Linked DNA regions of Sus scrofa. The protein of the gene in region 2 purifies or fractionates together with the protein of the main gene of each other region. This does not show direct contact. Links are inferred from orthologs where the notes say so. Each region holds a gene or a part of one and is shown on either strand. Other genes may lie near its edges.

Region 1 (4,268 bases), on a different chromosome or scaffold from region 2:
TAAGAGTCCAGGCTGGCAGCAGACTCCTGGCTCCCGGAGTCTCAGCTGTATGACCTTGGATGACTCACCGCTCAGTTTCCTCATCTGTGAAATGGGTAACAGTTCCTACCGGGAGGATAAGCGAGTTAATACGCGTAAAGCCCTGAAGAAGAGCGCCTCGCACGCTTCCTCCTCATCTTTAAATCAATGTGAAAACAATGCTATAAGGTGGATTTTCGGACAACCTGGGCGGAGTGGTGCTGGCATTCAAGGACTGCACCTCGATTACAAGATCCAGCCCTATCATCTAGGGTTGGACGGCAGGCACAGGGAAGGAGTCAGAGTCACTCACTAATTCTGCCATTTTTAGCTACTTCAGACCCGGCAGGGGCCTTCGGCTGAGCGCTGAGCTGTTCAGCAGCTCCGGTGGGTCTAAGCGGGAGTGGGTTTGTGCCTATTAACAGACTTGCGAAGTTTTGTGGCAGTATGCAGGTATCCGTCCCAATTTACGCATCCTCAGCCACCAACTCCTCCGCCCGCTAAGCAGGTCATTCCTCCACGTCCAGGGGCCGGGCTCCCTCGCACTCACGGCACAACTTCGGAGCACGCCGAGGGCCCTGGCTCCAGCCCACGCCCCAAGGGCCGCGCGGGGACCGGGCGCCCGACCTTCCCCGACGCCTCGCCCAGCAGCCAGCCCCATTTTCTTAACCCGTGCATTGTCCTTGCGGAGAACCCCGGCCGTTCCCACACTGGTGGGGACCGAGAGGAGGGACGAGGGAGGAGCTGGGGGAAGAGGATGAGGAGGAAGAGGAGGAGGAGGAGGAAGACAACCTCCTCCCCTTCGCTCGGGCGACCAGTGAAGGTCTGGCGCTTTCTCCGGCCCCCAGGCCCCGGCTCCCGGGAGGCCGCGGCCTCGGCTCCCACCCTCGGCAACTTTCCCTCCGCTCGCACCCGCCTCTCCTCCGGGACCGGGCCCGTCGGGCTCCCTCCCCCGGCGGCCAGCCCCGGGCCGCGGCGCCTCCTCCTAAAATGGCAGGTCCCTCCCTCCGCCCGGCCGGCCTCGGCGCGGGCCCGGCTGCAGGCCGCGGGGGGAGCCGGGCGCCGGGCAGGGCCGGGCGGGGCCGCGGCCAGGCCGGACACTCACCGGGACGATGGCGGGGCGCTCGCGCCGCTTCCTCCGGTGAGTCTCAGCCTTGGGCTCCCGCCGCTGCGCTCCCGCCGGGGCCTCCGCAGCCAGCGCCGCCCCGGCCGCCTCTCTCCGCCCCCGGCGCTCCCGGCTCCGCGGCCGAGCCGCAGCCTTCTCAGTCTCTCTCCGGCTCGCGGTTCCAGCGGCGCCCGGGGCCGGGGAGGCGACAGCCCCCTCCCCGGCAAATACCGCAGTCCCCGGACCCCGACTCCCGGCGGCGGGGCCGCGCGGCCCGGCCCGGCGCGGAGGGCGGCGGCGGCGAGGCCGGGCGCCGAGTCGCGGCTGCTCCCGGCGGCTTCTTCCCGAGGAGGATTTTGTAAATCTCACAAAATGGCGCGCGCTCCAAACCTGCGCAGCGAGAAGCGCCGGGGCCCGAGCGGCGGCGGCGGCGGCGGCGGCGGCTCCTCCGCCAGGAGAGCCAGAACCGCCCGCACAGACAGACAGACACTCACACACACTCACACACACACACACGCACGCACACTCGCACACGCTCACTCACACACACACTCTCACACTCACACCGGTCCCGCCCGCTCGCCGGCGGCGGCAGCGGCACCAACAGCAGCAGCAGGAACAGCAGCAGCAGAAGCGGCGGCGGCGGCGGCGCCCGCACCCCCCGCTCGGGGTGTCCGCTCCCTGAGCCCGACCTGGGCCGCGATCAGCAGCAGCGACGGCAGCAGTCTCCCCGGATCCCCCCGCCGCTCTTGCCGCCGCCACCCCCGCCTCACTCCAATGGGGCTTTTTATTATTATTCGGGCGGGAAGCGAAAGGGTTTAAAAAAAAACCAACCAACAAAATGGCGACGGACCGACCCGGTCGCTATAGCAACTGTCAATCAAAACGCAAAACCCCGGCTGACGTGCTGACGTCCTCCTCCCGCCCCCCGGCCCCAAGCCGGCGGGCGGGGCCTGTTGCTCGGGCAACGGCAGATTCCGTTCCCTCCTTTCCCTCTCCCCCTCCGTCCCCAACCAACCACCCAACCCCCTCAGGTCACGTGAAGGATAAATTCGGAGCTCAGGCCCGCTACGAGTGTCAGAGGAGGGCGCGTGATTCGCTCGGGGGAGGGGAGAGGAGGGGGACGGCCGGGCCGAGGGAGGGAGAGGGCGGAGGAAGGGGGGCGAGGCGGCGGCCGGCCTGTGCTCCAGCGCCCAGGGCCTCCCGGCCGCGCCCCGCCCCGCGCCCGCCGCGCCCGCGCCGCCCGCGCCGACTGCGGCCCGGAGAGCGCGCGCGGCCTCCGCGCCGCCGCCCCCGGAGCCCCGCGCTTCCGCGTCGTGCGCCCGCAGCCCCGCCCGCGCCGGGGGGAGGGGGCCGGGCTCTGCGGCCGCGCGGGGACCCAGGAAGCCCACTCCGGTGCGCCCGCGCTGGGGACTCTCACCTGCATCCCCGGGGACCGCGCCGGCAGCGCACGTCCGCGCGTTTAAACTGTTCTTGGAAGGCCCCGCGTGCCCCCCTCGCCGGAAAATGCCCACGGAGGCCGCGGTGGGGGGTGGGGAAGAGGCCGCCTCCGCGTTTCAGACATCTCAGGAATTCCGGACGCTTCGCCCGAATCCGGGATGCCCCTGCGGCTGACACCTTGATTAAATCATGTCACTCGGCTTTTTGCTGCGGCCAGTGCCAGCGTTCAGAAATCATGGACGGAGCCATCATACAAACTTTTTTAGGCTGTGCATGCTCAGCCGGGCTTTCCCACCGATTTCAAACCCCTCCCCACCTTTCAGGCAGTCTTCCTTCTCCATCGGAATGCCCCTAAAATTAATCGTCTTAGGCTATACCGTATCGTTGTCCAACTCCCTGATTTTCTTTCTCATGCACCATTTCAGTTTCCAGATTTTTAATTCGCCCACAATTCTTGATTAATAGTCTCGCTTTCGTTTATCTTTATTCTGTCTACCCCTCTGGCTGGCTGAATATTACTAGGTGTTCTCTCTCGGCATTGAAACCTAGGTATGGAAGTAGCCATGCTGTACTGGCTACTTTGTAATCAGTAGACAGCCACTGGCTAAAAATTGTATTTTGTACCATTCCTAGTAAAATGGCATTTAATCTTTGCCAAAAAGGATACTATGGATATTATTTTACACCAAGTCCCTAATTTATTGATTGATTTCTAAGCTTGATTTTGCCATCTTATGATAGTGTTCGTATCAATTTTGTCTTAAGCTTGGACTGTTCACAAGTAAAGCAGCAGCAGATACCAGTAAAGAAAAACAACCCCACAGTAAATACTGAGCTCAATCCTCTATGACTCAAGGAAAGACACGAGTGTTTCCAATAAATGTTTCTCTTCTCTGGCTACTGGAACCTTGATTTACTAAGGCATCCATTGAAATTAGCACAGACCGTGAAAGAAAACAGACTAAACTTTAGATAAATTAGGCAAAAAGTAGGCCAATAGCTTAGACCGATTCTCATGGTATCACAAACTGCCATGACTATCAAGAGTTTTTTTGGACTTTCAAAATTGCCCTGCTAATGTAATTAAAGTCCACATTCAACTTGATTGTTTTCTGGTGGGGGGGAGTTAGGGTGGTGGTTTAATTTCCAGTTTATTTTCTGTTAAATTAACTACAACCTGGATTTACATTGCATCATCTTAAACAGGAGGAAGTGGCCAAAAGCGTCCCTGCTGGGGTAAGAGGCTGATATCTTGACGGCTCCCCAGCTTACACTGCCACCTCCTCCCTCCTGCTTCTTTCTCTTCTCCCTGCTCCCCACCCCCATCCTGTTCAGGCAGTTTCACTTCTCTCAGGACCCTTAAGCATTTGCAACCTTTAACACCAAGTTAAATTTGAGTCCGTTTTTTTTAATATATATTTTTATTATTTTTAAGAATTATTTCCCCCAATATAATTTTTTTCTACTGTACAGCATGGTGACCCAGTTACACATACATGTACACATTCTATTTTCTCACATTATCATGCTCCATCATAAGTGACTGGACATAGTTCCCAGTGCTACACTGCAGGATCTCATTGCTAATCCATTCCAAAGGCAATAGTTTGTATCTATTAACCCCAAGCTCCCCAACCCACCCCACTCCCTCCCTCTCCCCCAGTCCATTTTTTTTATTGCTGGTCATGAAGGGAACTTGCGTAAT
Region 2 (3,390 bases):
CACCTCTTCTCACCATCAAGGAGAGGGGCAGGTCACAGAGCACCCACTTTCTTGGCTTCTCCTTGGGAGGGGGTCTCTGACCAATGAGGAGGAAAGCCAGGTGATCACAGGGTGCTGACCTGTCCCTGTGACAGCGCCCGGCCCCTGACCAGGATGTCACCTACCCACCCACTGTCGAGTGTCTTCGTGAGCACTCCGGAGCACCCCCCTGCTCTCAGGGAGACACACACACACACCACACACACACACACACTCACTCACTCACTCACTCACTCACTCACTCTGAAACTGAGCGGAGTGCTGGGCCAAACCAAACTGCTCCAGGGAGCCTGGGACATGGCTTTCCTCCTCCTCTCAGGCTCTCCGTGTCCTTAACTGGAGAAGGTATGTGAGGGAGGGAGGAACCCGTCCGACCTCTTTGTAACCACTGATGCGTGTGGTCTGGAATCACACAGAGGAGGAGACTGGTGACCACAAGCCCCCGCCAAACTCCTAACACTGGGCCCACTGAAGGCCTTTTCCTGGGACCTGTCACAAATGAGAGACATCATAGAAAATGTTATTCTTTTATTATTTCAAGGAGGTAATACACAGCCCCAAACGTCAAAGCACTAGGGAATTAGAGGCAGCAGACGGCCAAAGTTGTTGAGAAGAGCCTCATGCTGCATCTCCGGGCCCCCATCTGCCCACAGCCCACGGCTGCTTACAGGAAGGCCAGACCAGCAACATGGCACTTGCTGTGACTGTGGCAGTGGACAGGTGACCCAACTCAATACCCCACTGACTAAGGAAGGGTTCTCCTGGGTGGGCAGCGCTCAGCCCTGCCCCGGCCAGGTATACATGGCTACTGCCTTGGCGGCAACCAGCTTATCTAGCACTTGATTTTATTTCTGTAAGCCTGGAGTGGGTAGGATGGGAATAAATCCTGAGTCAGAAATGAAGGTGAAAGACTTAGTAGTGTTAATACTCTGGGTGAGAGAAGACAACACTGCCTGAGAAGGGTGGGCTGGGAGTCGGTAGAAGAAAGATGGCAACACCGAGACTGGCCAGGGACTGAAGGCGCTGCTTTGCAGCCATCAGAGGGGTTTTTTGGGGGCACATGATGTGGGGGGCCTGGGGGGTGGGCTCTGAGGCTCCTGCTTCCTCTGGCACAGAGTTGATCTAAAGGTTCATTTTTCACTCATAATTGGTTTTCCGGGTCTAGGTCACCACCCCAGGGGCTGAAGCAAGTCCTGCCTGTGCACAAGGCTGGCCATGGAGATGTGTGGTCAGTGCCCAGTGTGGGCAGGGAGGGACTCACATCTCCCAAGACCTTTCTCCCCCGACCCCAGCTCCTTCCCCTGCAGGTGACCAGGGTGGGAGGTGGGGGCCTCGGGCACCTCAGAGTGAAGCCCCACCACATTCTTTTCCTGGAGAATTCATTTTGGTGGGACCTAAGGTCCCCACCTGGCAGCGAGCAGACTCATGTCCACCCATGGGAAGCCACCTTCTGGCGGCTGAATGGTGGTGCGAGTAGGAAGGGCAGCAGCGGCTCTGGATACGGTAATACTCTGACATTCATTCATTCCAATGCCATGGTCAGACCGGAGCACTGGCGAGAGGGCTGCTCCTTCCCAGCATGCACTGTTCCCCAGCCAACCCCGGCCAGGTCAGAGCCAGGTTCAGATGCCGCATGGCCGGTAGATTTTTGGTTTAACAGGAATGGAAAGAATCTTTAAAAAACCAGGCCACTGCGTTCTCTAGACTGGGAGCCATCGGTTTTGTTTAACAAGAAAGGACAAAGAACCAAACTCCACAGTGGCCAAGGCTTGTGCAGCACAGAATGCAGTGTGTATCGAAATGTATAAACCTTGGTCTGACTGGGGAGGTGGGTGAACACAGACCCGTGGGACCTCGTGTCCTCTAGTCAGTGGCAGGCTCTGCTGTTGCCTCATCCTCATGCTCCTCAAAGCCTGGGACCGGCTTCTGTAGAAAGTGCATGGTGGCTTGGATCACCTTATCTGGTCCAATATTGTATACAGGGTGAGTGGGCTGCTGCAAAGAGAACAGATGCCAATTAATCACTCCAGTGCACAGCCTTTGCCCATTTAATGCACTTACAAGAATATAACATTGGAGATCCCGTTGTGGCTCAATGGTTAACAAACCCAACTAGCATTCATGAGGACGCGGGTTCAATCCCTGGCCTCACTCAGTGGGTTAAGGATCTGGCGTTGCCGTGAACTGTGGCTTGGATTCCACGTTGCTGTGGTTAGGCCAGCGGCCACAGCTCCAATTGGACCCCTAGCCTGGGCACCTCCATATGCTGAGGGTGCAGCCCTAAAAAGACAAAAAGACAAAACAAAAAGAATATAATATAAGGAATCATCAGAGATACACATGGAGATTTATCTCACAAGGCCCTATTGTACAACAGGGAACTGGTAAGACATGTTATAGTACATGGGACACAGAGGAAGAGAGCCATTAAAAACATGCTTTCAGCATGTAAATCAATGAAGTTAGAATACATCATACACAAAAATAAATTCAAAATGGCCTAAAGACTTAAATACAAAACAGAACACCATAAAACTCCAAGAAGAGAACAAGAAGAGAAGGCAAAACATTGACATAAATCCTACCAATGTTTTCTTAGGTCAGTCTCCCAAAACAACGGAAATAAAAGCATAAATGAACAAATGGGACCTAATCAAACTTAAGCTTTTGCACAGCAAAGGAAACCATAAACAAAAGAAAACCTACGGACTGGGCGAAAATATTTGCAAAGATGCAATTGACAAAAGACATCCTTTCAAATATTTAATGATATTGGCAAATACTTACATTAAGTGTGGAAGACAGTATGTGATATTATCCCCAAACTTATGATTTTGGGAGGCTTTTTCGGCCGTAGATTCAGCCAAAAAATAAAGTGTTGGTAGATATGATGTATATGAAATAGGCCAAAAAAAAAAAAATGAATGTAGGCCAAAATAGGAACAGTGATGATTGTTTTTAATTTTCTTTTAGTTTTATATGTACTCCAATTATTTAAAAAATAAATATGTGTTTATAATCAAGAAAAAGGACCGTGATCCTATTACACTTAAGTAAAGGCGTCAGGCCATCAATAAGTTAATTTATCCCACAGAACCCCCTCCCCAAAAAAACTTTAGTGTGAGACAAGGCACAAGCCTAGGCCAGTACTGAAGTTAAGAAAATACTTTGAGCAAATCCATGCCAGAACAAAGGTAAACTAAATAGTTTTATAGAGCAATATAAATTTTCAAAATTGATTCAAGAAAAAAATTTTAAAACCTATATAGGTTAAATCAACAACTGTTTATTTTGCTACCAGCATTTCTGTCCCCACCCCCACCCAAAAAATACCAGGCCTACATGGTTTCT

What was found. Proteins that work in one complex are often made in the same cells at the same time.
Region 1: the proteins of FNTB (region 2) and DYRK1A purify together in Homo sapiens (affinity purification with mass spectrometry; 3 studies listed by BioGRID, counting the BioPlex papers as one). This does not show direct contact. The link is inferred for Sus scrofa from reciprocal best matches to the Homo sapiens genes FNTB and DYRK1A.

What each region holds. Positions count from the first base shown.
Region 1 is NC_010455.5:201,007,193-201,011,460, reverse strand, and holds the start of DYRK1A (dual specificity tyrosine-phosphorylation-regulated kinase 1A), read right to left. Parts: upstream 2,956-4,268; 5' UTR 2,544-2,955; intron 1,243-2,543; exon of another isoform or gene 1,124-1,242; intron 858-1,123; exon of another isoform or gene 569-857; intron 1-568. UniProt on the Homo sapiens protein: Dual-specificity kinase which possesses both serine/threonine and tyrosine kinase activities. Exhibits a substrate preference for proline at position P+1 and arginine at position P-3.
Region 2 is NC_010449.5:89,128,236-89,131,625, reverse strand, and holds the end of FNTB (protein farnesyltransferase subunit beta), read right to left. Parts: intron 2,035-3,390; coding exon 1,903-2,034; 3' UTR 551-1,902; downstream 1-550. UniProt on the Homo sapiens protein: Essential subunit of the farnesyltransferase complex. Catalyzes the transfer of a farnesyl moiety from farnesyl diphosphate to a cysteine at the fourth position from the C-terminus of several proteins having the C-terminal sequence Cys-aliphatic-aliphatic-X.